Styela clava: one gene and its partner. The protein of the gene in region 1 purifies or fractionates together with the protein of each later gene. This does not show direct contact. Links are inferred from orthologs where the notes say so. Each region holds a gene or a part of one and is shown in the gene's direction. Other genes may lie near its edges.

Region 1 (6,670 bases):
GAGTACTTATTATTTGTGGAGTCTGGAATGACACTAATACTTTTACATTCAATATTATAGCAAAACCTTCCACACAAGGCTCTCCTATCCCAATGCCATCAAGCCAGGGTTATTCGGGCGTGGCACTAGGAGGAGATCAGGTGACGAGTGGAATGTCCTGTCATGAAAAATGCGAATCATACGGCTGCAAACCTACAAAACCGGGAGCTTGTCAAGCGTGCATTAAATCAGTCTGCGGTAAGTAATTCGATATGTGAAAAAAGTTGAAGTACAAAAAAATAAACTTAATTGGTCACACAATGTCGCTTGCAAGATAGCAGCAAGTTTACGACAACTTATAAATTCCTACTTTTTCTCTTTACGTAGACGACAACGTGTATGCCACAAGTTGCGACAAACTAGTACGAGACAACGGGATCTGCCCATCATGTAACGAAGAGAAGTCTGCAAGTGGATATGATTGCAAAAAATGCTACGATGATTGTGGAGCAGGTAGCAGTTTTTTTTATTATTCATATATATATATTTTAGAAATTCAAGTAAAGAAAAAATGATATTTTGTCGGATGTGTTAAGCTTATTGCTTCATGGCGCACTAGCCTTGAAATTTTGGGAATAATAAAATTGTCAGAATGTTTCAAATTTCGGTAATATCGGCATCGTCACCGTATATGTTTGAAACTTCAGTCGTAAAATTAAACTACAAAAAAAAATAGTTATTATTATTATTCATTATCAAATGCGATATATATATCGAGGAACAGAAAAAAACGGACTGGGTTGAAATGAACTTTTTTGATTTCTGGACGTTTGTGATAACTCAGATGTGCTTTAATCTAGTTTGTATTTTATTTTCAGTTGATCTCTCGCACGGTGGTAGCTACTCCTGAGGAAATGAAACCGGATTTTGCATATGTGACAAATATATACTCTTTGATCAAATTTGTTCAGACGTGTGAAAATTTCCAATTATTCCAACATTTGAATTAAACTATGTAATCTGCAAACTTTTTTTTTATCGTTGTTCTGGTTTTCACTGTGGGAGATAGGTTGTACTGTATATATATATGAAAGATTATTTGTCCTGGAATTTCGAATGCAAGTACTTAAATCTGCAAAAAAACAAAAGGTCGTCATAAGGTAGGCCTATGTCATATCATCTCGCCGAAAGTTACTCCTAAAATATCTCAATTAGATATTTAAAATTAAGACAGATAAAAATATTCACATCGCAAGTAAATAGACATATATATATTACAATTTCGAATCGGTTAAAGTCAACAAACTTTGGAGTAAGGCAGCAGTAGGCCCCTACCCATATTTAAGAATGCAGCAGCAAAGAAAATTTAACTGCGAACTATAATGAAATGACCAAATGTGTTTGGGAACGACAAATTTAATTATTTCGACTTGAGATAAATTTATGAAATAGTAAAACGTGCGTCGTTTAAATAAAAATATTCCTGTTGCATGTCTGATGGGGAAAATTGAGCCTCGCGCCATCTCAATTTCAGCTTGGCTTTTCCGAGCTCCCAGTGATGCACGATTTATCACCCATTTCCTATCGAAGTCTTTCCTGGGCATCCTGGCTGCCGTCTGTCTTCTCGAAGGACAATGCTTGCTCCCCCTGGAGCGTCTGACACAGTTCGCCGCAGAGCATTACCTTTTTCCACTAGAGCTTTGTATTCTCCCCCCTATCTCATTTCTCAAATTACGTTACTGGCCCTTCTTATTAGCATCGATGAACTTTTTCTGCCACTTCTTTAGCCTGCTAATACTATCTTACGACAAATAGCTACAAGTGTTGTTAAATCTTTCCCTTCTTTCCTGATCGGGATATGCTCGCCATTTTTTGAGTTCACCACCTACCTTCAGACCTTGCTTGAGTTGGGCATCACATTTACACATCAGCACAAGATAACACACATTCGCCCCGTACTTTCACTCAAGAGTGCTGCATATATGCCCAAAGTTTTATTTATTGTAGTCTTCTTGTCGGCTTCTTCCAACCAAATGCTGATTCTTGGATTGCCCCGTGCGCGAAATTATCGGCACCTAAGCGGTCCAAGACACCACATGTCCGACTCCGACGTAAGATCATTGAGGTGTATATAACCTCAATGCGTGAGATCGATAGTAACTTTACATTGGATAGGATTTACATATTTATCCCGGGGAGAGGAAAGCCGATAAGACGGCTCAATCATATGGCGAACCACGGCCTCTCGTCTGGTTACCCAGTCCAGGTCGGGTATGGGATTAGTTAGCCAGTTATTTGTTTTCGGAAGGCGTAACCTATCAGCGGTTACGTGAACCACCCTACGGCGGCGAGGAGTCCAGCAATCCTCTTGCACATGATCATCCCCGCATGAGATTCGAACCTGCGATCCCACGAAGGCTAATCAGATGCGGTGGCGAGCGTATTCCTAACGCTTAGCACGATGTGCCACACTGCCGAGCCACCGTAGACCGCCGCCTCAGAACATCTGGTTCTACGCGGAAAATGTTACTGCTTTCTTGAACTCTTTGTCAAAAATTCAATCTATTTTGTTAAAAATTCTTTAATTAAATAATTGAAAAATATACATTTTATTATAAAATTTAACAATTAGAGGTATGGTGATCATCAGAATACCGAAAACAATTCATCTAACATTTCTCCGTGTAGTTTCGAATTTTCTATAAGTGGTGACGACATTCTAGTCTCAAAGCAGTGCAGCGAACTTCAATCGTCATGGAATGTTTCGTGTCGTTCTTTATTTCTGTATTTTTGTAATATTGGGGTCGTACCCGGTTTCTCATTTTCCGCAATGGAAATAGTTCTGTCAACAATAGTAGAATAACGCAGTGTTTATTTCATAAATATAGATCTATCAGTGACTGCCGGGGTGATTTATTGAATTTTTAACAGACAGACACCGGTCTAACGTTACGGCTGTACGGTGACTCAAGTTTTAACATTGCCTTTGTACAGTCTGATAGTACCGGTACAGTAGTCAGGTAGTAGTAATAAAAAAATGAAACAATCTCTTTAACTATAGTTATCAGTTCGAATATTCGTATCAGGTATAGCGTTTTGAAATACTGGAATACAGAAGTAGGGTGGTGTAGCCAGTCCGCGGACGATTTCATTCAAACCGCTATAAAACAAAAACCAATATTTCTAACCGTTAATTTTTCACCGTAGGTGCATTGGCATGTATTCTACGCGCTAAACCTCGAATTAACTTTCTACGACCAGGGGTTAGAAATATTGGTTTTTGTTTTATAGCGGTTTGAATGAAATCGTCCGCAGACTGGCTACACCACCCTATTTGCGACCGAACGACCAGTGTGCGATCACAAATTTCAAGCTTTGAACATCGTTTCTGCTGCGTCGAGACTAGAGCATGCGCAGCCATGCGTGAAAAAATTGGGCTTCTAATTGCATTTCTGACCGTCATATATTTTAAGAACACGGTCATTTCGAACAAAACTCGTCAAATTATATACAAAGCACCACATCACAGCAATCAAACAGACAAACACACGGTGGTCGAAAATTGGTCGACAAAGATATTATCGACGTATTCGAAATGTGCACCTCCCTATTCCCCCTCCCAATCAAACAGACAAAAACACGGTGGTCGCAAATTGGTCGACAAAGATATTATTGACCTATTTGAAATGTGCACCCCCCTATTCCCCCTCCTTTAAATGTAGAAACGCAAATATTTAAAAGATGGTTAAATAAAACACAACTCTACCCCCTTGCCAAGTTTCATTTTTTATCTCTTATATTTGTATGGATTTTCAAGTTTCATTAATGGGACAATGGGTAGTTGGCGACATGAAAAAATGGTCTGTTTTTATCGTCGGTCAGGTTTTCGGTCGTAGCTTTTCTGTTTGTGGCCGTATTTTAGTGTAATATCGCAGAGACAAGTGGACAATAATGCGTGACGAATATCGTCGCGGTTCTTTAATTTTTTCGGCATCAATTAGATCGATGAAGTTGATGGCCGCAAATAGGTCGTGGCCGCGAAGTGGGTAAGCCACCCTAAACTTCTGAACTTGGTTCTGTGATTTTACATAATTCCGAAACCTGTCAACATTTAGTCTACATCTTTTTATTATTAAACCTGTGTAAACCCCATTCACTAGACCGTCTGGGCTTCCAAACTGAACAAACTCGCACTGCACAAAAATGAAAAGAAAGTGCAATCTGAAAACGTCACAATTGGATTTCTTGAAATTTTTTTTCTGTAGCATTCGAGAGTTTATAGCAAAAAACACATGTGGTGGCCGCGATTAGTTTAGATTATTATCGAGACAAGCATGGCACAATTCCACGCATCTGCTGTCGTGCCAGATGCCCTCATTTAAGAGACAAATACAGTTTTTTATTTTATTATGAAATTTCCATATCTTATCACTTCTTTCTGTACAGACATTAAATGGTTTAATTATTATAGCTACTTATTCTTAATAGAAAAACTTGAAATGTCTCAACAATCTGAAGTCGATGAACTTTTTGATGTCAAAAATGCGTTCTATCTTGGTTTGTATCAACAATGTATCAATGAGGCACAAAAGGCTAAAGTGAGTAGCCAAGTAAAAAAGAATGAGCGAGATGTATTTATGTATCGTGCATACATTGCTCAGAAAAAGTTTGGAGTCGTTTTAGATGAAATTTCGAGTCTGGGATCATCGGAACTTCAAGCTGTTAAACTTCTCGCTCAGTATTTAGCTGACTCATCAAACAAGGACCAAGTTTTGAAAGAAGTTGAAAATAAACTTTCTGGGAATATTGACATTGAAAACACCGTTTTACCACTAATTGCTGCAAGTATATATTCACACGAAGAAAACTTTGACTCCGCCTTGCGAATCCTTCACAGTGCTGAATCATTGGAGTGCTCTGCTCTTTCGATTCAAATTTACATTGCGATAAACAGGCTCGATCTTGCAAAAAAAGAACTCAAACGAATGCAAGAAACTGATGAAGATTCAACCTTGACTCAACTTGCACAGGCGTGGTTTAATATCTCTGTAGGAGGGGAAAAACTACAAGATGCTTATTATATTTTTCAAGAAATGGCAGACAAGAATCAAAGTAGCACGTTACTGCTCAATGGTCAAGCTGTGTGCTTCATAGCTCAAGGAAAATGGGACGAAGCGGAAGGTGTTTTACAGCAAGCAATGGATAAAGACAGCAACTGTGCTGAAACTCTAATAAATATGATAGTGCTTTCGCAACAGATTGGAAAACCACCTGAAGTTACCAATCGTTATCTGTCGCAACTGAAAGATTCTCATGGGAAGCACAAATTTGTCAAAGATTTCAATACAAAAGAAAATGACTTTGATCGTTTGGCAATGCAATATGCTCCTGCTTGATAGTTCAATCTGATAAGACATTGCAATAATACAAAAATAGAAAATTAGAAAATATATTTAAATATTTCAAATATCTTGATGTCAGGCAAAGTTTACACCTCATGATTTTCATGTTCCGAGCAGATTTACTAAGGAAAAAGTTCTGAAATAATTCCTTTTGGTGTGGGTTATTGAATGTATATGCCCATTTTTTAGATAATTTTTGAAATTTGATATTAAAGAAGTGCATATATTTACCATTTACTAATCTTGGGAATTAATCACTATTATACTATTTAAATTGAGATGTGTTGGCTCTATGTAGCACTGATGATGAAAAATAACGCTTTTAATTTGCATTATTTTTTGATTTTCAATCATTTTTTTTGGATAAAAAAGTTAGGTGTGTCATCCTAGTATTTTGTGCCTCGATCAGAGTATGCTCACTAAGCAAGCCAATGATGAATAGACCTGGTTAGTCTAGAAGCCCACCATCTTGTAATATGTTGGCTTTAGATGTGCTAAAATATTCTAGCCATTCTTTAATTTGGAGTTGAGACCTTACTATTTGTGTGTGAATGCTTTGCCAAAGCCTCATTGAGAGCAATGCTATAAAATATCACATAAAAAGTTTAAATTTTTTTAAATTAAAATATGAAATGACTGGACTTGATTTGGTAGTAGCCTAAGTAATGTATTTGCATTATTTCATGATATGGATGATGGGTGCTTATCATATCTGTATATTTGTTGCCTGGTATATATAATAACATGTATAATATTGTCTTTAGAATACATGGAATAAATCGAATACCATTTATACCGATTGATTTTTGTATTGGGTAATAGAAACTGAATTTAGCATCGATATGTCAGCGATCCACTATAAGTTCTCAAGCAGCAATGATTACAAGAATGTTACGTTTGATGGAATCAACATTTCACTCCAAGATTGTAAGAAAGCAATAATGTTAAAAGAAAAATTGAAGATGACGGAAGTTGATTTGCTAATTACGAATGCTCAGTCTCTACAAGGTAAGCTTGACTCTTTATACTTAAATTTTATTCACATTGTGCGAATTCTAATGATAAATTACCTAATGATAGAACTAAAATGGAAAATTATGCTGATAAAAGCTATTTGCAAACATGTCATCGAAATTTGGTATTTGAGTGTTTACTTCTAACCTGCATTGGTGAGTTATAAATATATAAGAGCTTCGACCAATTGTGGTGAGCTGATGGTTTCCAACTTGCTCATGTGCGTCATTCCGAAGTATTTGAGTGTTTAATTCTGATCTGACTTAGTGAGTGTG
Region 2 (7,508 bases), about 2.1 Mb from region 1:
TCTAAAACGTTTCGCTGTGTTCAATCATTAGAATCGATATATATATAGCATTTTAATATTTCTGAAAAACTTTGGTTACAATGACTTGATGGTTAAAGTTACCATCACAGGGTAAAAGTCTCAGGTTCAAATAACATGACCATACCCTTACCTAGGATGTGATAAATTGGGTAGTCAACGTGTACCCTGGAAAGATCCCGGTCCCTTCAAACGATAGTAGCTTCTAGCAGTGACATTTATTCATAGCCTTGTTTTGATTGAAAGAAAGCCCCGTTTTGGCATAAGGAATAACTAATCAAAACATGAATATAAAAATTGAAGCATATTCTCGCGTTCTTGTTTTTCATTTGTTAAAGACACTAGGTATTTTAGACAGTGTGGCTATAATAAGTAATAAGAATGCGTTTTGTACTCTCCACGATATTCTGCACCTTAATTGCCCTTAGCTGTGCTTACGCCTTTTTGTTGATAAATTTGCCAAAGTTCGAATTAGAGGAAGGAGTAAATGACGAAGACGGCACGATGTCTTTTTCAAGGCGGCCTCCATTTATACGCGGAGCATTTACTCGGATGAATGGAAGGTGGGTGAATGTGCACAATATTGTAACAATATCTACTTCTTCATTTCCGTAGATTTATTATAACCCTGAGTATATGTCGTATATATCACCTTTCGTTAAATAAAATCTGAAATGCTGTTGGATAAAGCTTCTAAAGTAGCAACAAAACATTTTGTAATATTCTTGTGTTATATCACTTCGAGTTTTTTTCCTGTTAATAATCAAAATTGAATTCTTTTTTTAGAAGATGTGTGGCCATGCGAGCCGATATCCATTTACTTATAAATATTACGTTTTTATTCAAAATAACTTCGAAACATAGATTAATAATCATTTAAAACGTGTAGGATAGATTCCTTGCAATCGACTAGGTAAAAAAAAAATCGTGTTGTTGACTAGGTCTTATTTTAGGTGGAGGGCTTATTTAAAAAAAAATTAAATTCAAGCTAGGTCTTATTTTCAGGGTAGGTCTTATTTTCGGGGAAACACGGTAGAAGTGAATAACCATTATTTCAATACAAATATATCCTGTGGTTGAAAGTGGAAACTAAAATAGGCTACTAAAATATTTCTCTAACTTTGTTTATAAAATGGTCTGTATTCAATAAAGATATTATTTTATTCGGACTTCTTTTTCTCATATTTTTAAGGCGAACTCACGTCGTACCGTCGGATGGCTGGAAACGCAAAAAGAGAGAAATACAACACCAGGAAGGCGAGTTTGCTATTTATTTTATTACACATTGCACCTGTCATATCAAATATAAAATCTTGTTGAATAGTTTTGTCGAAATACTTGAAGGATTTTATGTTTTGCTTTCGATTGTATGTTTGTCTGTTATATAGAGCACTTAATTGCAAACATTAAAATAACGTTTTTTATTACTATTTTGTTTTACATATGCAGCCATAGACGAAGACATAGCACTTTTTGAGTGAAAGAAGAAGAAAGAAGAAATCTATTTTAAAATACTTTTTGTACAATAATAAATCTTTGCAATACGAAAAAAATCTCTTAAACGTTTCACATTTATGCGTTTTCTCTACGCAAGCGCTACTGACGAGGATGGTGTGGGAACCAAATCTAACTCAAGATGTAACAGATTTTAATCGCGACACCCCAAACAAGGATAATTACTTACAAGTCAAGTTTATTTTTTCCAACCAGAAAAAAAGTCAGTTTCACACAAAATATGAGGAAGATAGAAAATCACACATTTCATCTGGGGAAGGGAAGCCGAGAGGAACCAATGCTGGTTATCGAGCAGCGAGATCTAAATACAAAAAATACGCTTCGTTGGTTCGAAACACGTGCATTCAAGCTTGCTTAAAAGTCGGTTATATGAAACTGATACTATTGTGTTTGTTGTTTAACCGCGAGCGAGCCTAACTTCAAAAAATCGTCTGATTTTTGTGCAGATAGTGTGATATCCTATTTTTAATCTTGGTTTATTTTAGTTAACATTTCACAACTTACCAAGTTTATAAAAAACCAGAAATATAAAATTTCATTTTATTATTATTATTACTTGTCCCCACAAATTGTTTCTACGAAGATTCCCCACACAACAGAGGTTAAACTTGAGACACAGTGACGTAATGGGTAAAAAAAAATACTGAAAGAAGAGTCATATAAAAAAAATAAAAAAATTTATTTAGACCAAAAATCAGCAAAGCAGTCAAAAAATGTTTGATAAAAACAAAAATCACAAATTCTTGAAATTTCGGAATCATATTAAAATTAATTCCTGAGTATGGATTAGAAAATATGTCTAAATCACTGAAATTGGGGATCGGATTTCCCGGTATCCCATCCCCATTGCTTACTTAGGAATCGAATTCATATTACCGACACCAAAACAAATTGTATTTTTTCGGCCGTAGTTGTTATAAGAATATGAGCATCCATATTTCCACAAATCGGAGGTTTCAATACGAAAGTCAACTGTTGACATTTGGAAAACAAAATTATTCGAAAATATTGCAAAAATTGGTGTTTTTATGCTGGTAATTCAATAATTATTTGCACGCAGTATTCAAAAAGTATTCTAATAAAAATTTACAGGAGTTCAAAACCAATAATCTCCGTTTTTAACTTTTTTTTAAAACAGTCTCAAAATTTTTTTTTATCAAATCCTTCTAAATATAAATTTACGGTTATCCACTTCTTTGTCTCTTTCACTCGATGTCATAATTGAGTGTTTGTTTAATATATCCGACGCAGTCAAGCAAAAAATTCTCCCGAGACACGTCGCCGATAACAGCATTTTTTTGGTCGTAGCTGGTGTTTTCCGCCGCTAGTATTGTAATATGTGCCTGAAAGACGCAAAAATAGCAGCCTATTTGACGTTGCTGACGGTATTTTACTGTACATCGTATGCCCAAGATGCATGTTCTGATCTTTTACCAGGACAATACCGCTGTGCTGAACCTCAAATAGATGAGCATACTCAGGCTGTTGCCAACTGCACACCAGCTGGCAAGTCGAAGATTGACTGCTATCCTGTCAATGGTATAACATGTGATGGGAAATCGTTTAATGGAAGCCAAATTGGTTTCGAAAAACTAATAAACTGTACATATACTAATGGATATTCTTATACAACAGCACTTGGACTTTCAATTTTTCTTGGTTGGTTAGGGATAGATAGATTTTATTTAGGTTATCCAGCACTGGGATTATTGAAGTTTTGCACCTGTGGCATTTTTGGCTTAGGTGCATTTTTTGATTTTTTATTAATTGCATTGCAAGTTGTTCTTCCTGCCGATGGTTCAAATTATGTCATTGATCTCTATGGACCCCGATTGCGGGAAATTTCTATAAATGCTGAAACTTATTTTAAACCACAACTTGAATGATAATTTTAGACTGTTTTTGTATACTATATCCAGATATATGTATACTCTTATTTAACACTGTGCTATTTCTATTGATCTTATTAGAAGCAATAATCCAGTATGACCCAATTTGTCAAAATTATTAAGTGTAACTAGTCAGAATATATCATTCTGAAGTTATTCTCCTGTATTTGACTGCATACTAATATGTTTTCTGTGGTTCCGCTGAGCTAATAATATACCAATTTAAACTGGCCCTGATTTGGTTTTCTCAATTTTCAGTGCTCAAAATGTCATTCACTTGACTGAGTTGAACTGTATTATTTTTTTATTTGAGCCTGAAAAAAAATTCTTCAGATATTTAGTTTTTCAGTAATCTTTTGTCATTTTTCACTCATTTTGCAACTTTTTTTTGTATTGCTGTGTGGATATATGAAAAATCCGTTGTTATCTGTTTCATTTTTCAAACCAACAATAGTCTTTATATGTAATAGTAGTTTTGTTTTTTTTTAAGGGACATTCATAGTATGTTTCTATTTGAATGGAAAACTGCCTGTCATAATATGTTATTTAGAATGCAAATTTTTCTGATAGGATTATACCATTGCCATTCCATGCATTCTATTTCATATCTCAGATGATGAATATGGATGAATTTTGGAAAAATTATTGTTTTTATTTAATTTTTTCTGTGTTGTGCAGTATACTATTTTACCCGACTCAAAAGCAAAGCCTCAAGCGACCATTGAGAACTTTAGGAGTGTTAGTAAATTATCTATGAACCTAATTTGGTAAAGATATGTTAGTCTTGCCATATTAACTTAACAAAACTGCTCTTGGTGAATGAGAGAGCAACAATTGCGCAATTTTTATTGTGAAGCTGTAAATGTCTCACTTTACAAGCTACGATCTGCTATATAACATAACTTTCTTTTCAATGCAAGCTTTAAAATAGTATACCCCCTATTACTCCTGTTTTTTAATTTTTTTTATCATGTTTCTAAAATGCAATGTATTATTTTGTTCAAATATTTTTTGTTTTATTTGATAGATATTTAGATGTGCTAGTGCTTGACTTACAGAATGACATCAGCAGAAAGCATTTGTCACACTCTAATCAATGTACCGTCTGTTACTGATTCGGAGCCATCTAATGAATCACAATTAAAAGCAGATATCGAACATGGCGATATTCGTACTAAAACAGACGCTTTGAAACGCGTCATATTAATGACATTGAATGGAGAAAAACTTCATGGTATGATTTTTTTTGGTATTCAAATAAAATAGTTTATGATTATAATATGTCACATTCTTTTTCAACATATTTTGGGTTATTCATGAGTAATATAATAGTGCATACCAAAATATAAAAATTTAATAATATTGAACAAATATTTCAAAATAATTGGATCCATAGTATTAATCTTCAGTGCTGAGCAGAAACTGAAGTCATACAATTTTTTAAATTGTGAATAGATTTTATCGATACCATATAATATATATATTATAGTTCGTTTGCCTCTACGGGTTTATATGAGGTAAAAAATGGAAACCGATTAAAATAAAACAAGCCTGGTTAGGATAGATTGAGAATTGACTTCATTACGAAATTAAAATTGTAACAGGACTTTATGAATACCTTGTGTATATAGCATAGCGTAATATGTATCGTATGTCTTTCTTCGGAAGATAAAGAAATTGGTTGAAACCGTACATTTGAACCCACGGCAATTGCACCTGCTTACTATCATATCTAAGGATTTTTTATTGTTACACGGATATTTGAACCCATACTAACACTAACCCATGGGTTTTAGCCCTCACATATATATTGAACCAGCGGATATACACATGGGTTCAAATGTACGGTCACCAAAGAAATTCAAGTTATATAAGTAAGGAGATAAGCCACATCAAAATTTAAAATTTTTTGACTGTATTATAGAATAAATTATTTTGTGATAATTTGATCTGGGATATTCATTTACAGTCTGATTTGAATCCAACTGTATTTTTATACAGTATAATGAATATGTCTTTTGAATAGCTTGGAATGAAGTTACATTTTTGTGATTCGATTCAATGCAATTGATTTAAATTATTGCATTCTTTATTACAAGGATTATTGATGACAATCATCAAATACTTGTTGCCTTCTGAAGATCATACTATCAAGAAATTATTGTTGATATTTTGGGAAATATGGCCCAAGACGGACAACGATGGAAAATTGAGGCCTGAGATGATTCTAGTTTGTGATGCTTATAGAAAGGTGGGCTGCTTGATCATTCATGAATTCTATTAAAATTACGCTGAATAAGCATTTAATATGGAGGATTCCCAATATTTTACTAGATAATTGATACATTCGGTTATAAATTGGAAGCCAAATTAAAGCTTGATTGATCAAATTTCAAGTCAAGTTTATGGGTGTAAGTGTAACGGCCTAGTGGTGGCAGCGTTGGGCTTAAACATGTTGGTTATATTAATGAAATCTTGAGTTTTAATCCTATGCCCAGCAACTGACCTAATGTATAATATATTGGATAGATAAGGCCAACTGGACAGATTTCAGTCCTTCTAAAATATAGTGCAATGGCTGCTTGTTTGGAGTGGAAGATGTTTAAAATGTTGCATGGAAAAGTAATATGTAGTCAACTATCAATATCTTAGCATTGGTAATGTGTACTATGCCATTAATATCTTAGCATCGATAATGTCTACGAGACACGGCGACACTGTTTCATTGTTTTTTATCTGTTTGAATGATAAATCCCTATGTTGAAAATTGACTATTAAATTGTTTTAAAATTTATCTTTGTTTTGTTATGTATGACATTTTGATTAAATACAGTTCTGGATTACAGTTCTTGAAGGTTGTCTTTTATTGCAGGATTTGCAACATCCCAATGAGTTCATTCGAGGTTCTACACTTCGTTTCTTGTGTAAACTTCGTCAGGCAGAACTGCTTGAACCACTAATGCCTGCTATTCGTGCCTGTCTTGAACACAGACATAGCTATGTAAGAAGAAATGCAGTTCTTGCCATTTATACTATATTCAGGTAAGTATTCCAAAACACAACCACTATCTGAAATATGAACAACCCTTATAAGGAATGCAATTATTTCAGTCACACTAGGGCAGCATTTCTCAACCCAACAGGCAGAAAAAACAGAACGATTACTATTCTTTGTATGCAGTTTTGCTTATATTATTTGGTTATTCAGTTAATATTCGATATATATATATATATTGGATGCTTTGAAGTTCAAACAAACAACAGAAACAGTTTTCCGCATAGTGAGGGAGTAATAAGGGGATCTAAAAATAGACAAAGGCAGGAATATATTGAGAAAAATTGTAGACCACTGCAGTTAGGGATTTTGCTTTTCATGTGATTTTGACAACAGTCTCTCTTCTCCACATCTGTTTACAGACATTATTTATCTTCCAGGAAATTTGAAAATTTGATTCCTGATGCTCCAGAACTTATTCATGAGTTTCTGGAAGGAGAAAAAGATGCTTCGTGTAAACGAAACGCATTCATGATGTTGATTCATGCTGATCAAGAACGAGCTTTGGATTACTTGAGCACTTGTATTGACCAAGTAAGAGTTTTGTATTTAGTATGACACACATTGCCTGTTATTATTGTGTATATCTCAGTTTCAGTTTTTACTTATATATTTTAGTGCAATGTGTTTGTCGCATGCTTGTATCAGAGTTATCCAAAAGAATGGTTAGTGTACTTCCAAACATATTCATTTTCAATATTGTAATTTATTGAATTTAGAAATGATTTCTTTGAAAATGTGGGCATTTCAAGAATTTGCCTCTTAGGCAAGTTCATGATCCAAAACTTGTTTTATTCAACTTTTCCGAATAACAAAACTTGAAACTTTATTATTATGCAATGACCTCAGGCGTATTCTCTATAAAATATATCACATTTCATGATATAGAATGCTAATATTGCTTAGTGGTGTTGGAGTCTCCAATCTCTATTTAGAATAGTGAATTATTTGTTACCGGCTAATCGGCTATCCCTGGCATATATTTCATGATTTTGCAAACTGGTATTTCTGTTATGAACTTTATTGTGAAT

The links. The genes of interacting proteins can lie anywhere in the genome.
Region 2: the proteins of coatomer subunit epsilon-like (region 1) and coatomer subunit beta-like purify together in Homo sapiens (affinity purification with mass spectrometry; 6 studies listed by BioGRID and IntAct, with this or other methods). This does not show direct contact. The link is inferred for Styela clava from reciprocal best matches to the Homo sapiens genes COPE and COPB1.

What each region holds. Positions count from the first base shown.
Region 1 is NC_135255.1:12,390,513-12,397,182, forward strand, and holds coatomer subunit epsilon-like, read left to right. Parts: upstream 1-4,407; 5' UTR 4,408-4,478; coding exon 4,479-5,375; 3' UTR 5,376-6,147; downstream 6,148-6,670. Other genes in the region: uncharacterized protein LOC120330988, read left to right, coding at 61-237, 367-492, 858-889; uncharacterized protein LOC120331661, read left to right, coding at 6,224-6,389. UniProt on the Homo sapiens protein: The coatomer is a cytosolic protein complex that binds to dilysine motifs and reversibly associates with Golgi non-clathrin-coated vesicles, which further mediate biosynthetic protein transport from the ER, via the Golgi up to the trans Golgi network.
Region 2 is NC_135255.1:10,256,937-10,264,444, forward strand, and holds the start of coatomer subunit beta-like, read left to right. Parts: upstream 1-4,481; coding exon 4,482-4,656; intron 4,657-5,521; coding exon 5,522-5,673; intron 5,674-6,294; coding exon 6,295-6,464; intron 6,465-6,857; coding exon 6,858-7,011; intron 7,012-7,508. Other genes in the region: TM2 domain-containing protein 1-like, read left to right, coding at 2,871-3,419. UniProt on the Homo sapiens protein: The coatomer is a cytosolic protein complex that binds to dilysine motifs and reversibly associates with Golgi non-clathrin-coated vesicles, which further mediate biosynthetic protein transport from the ER, via the Golgi up to the trans Golgi network.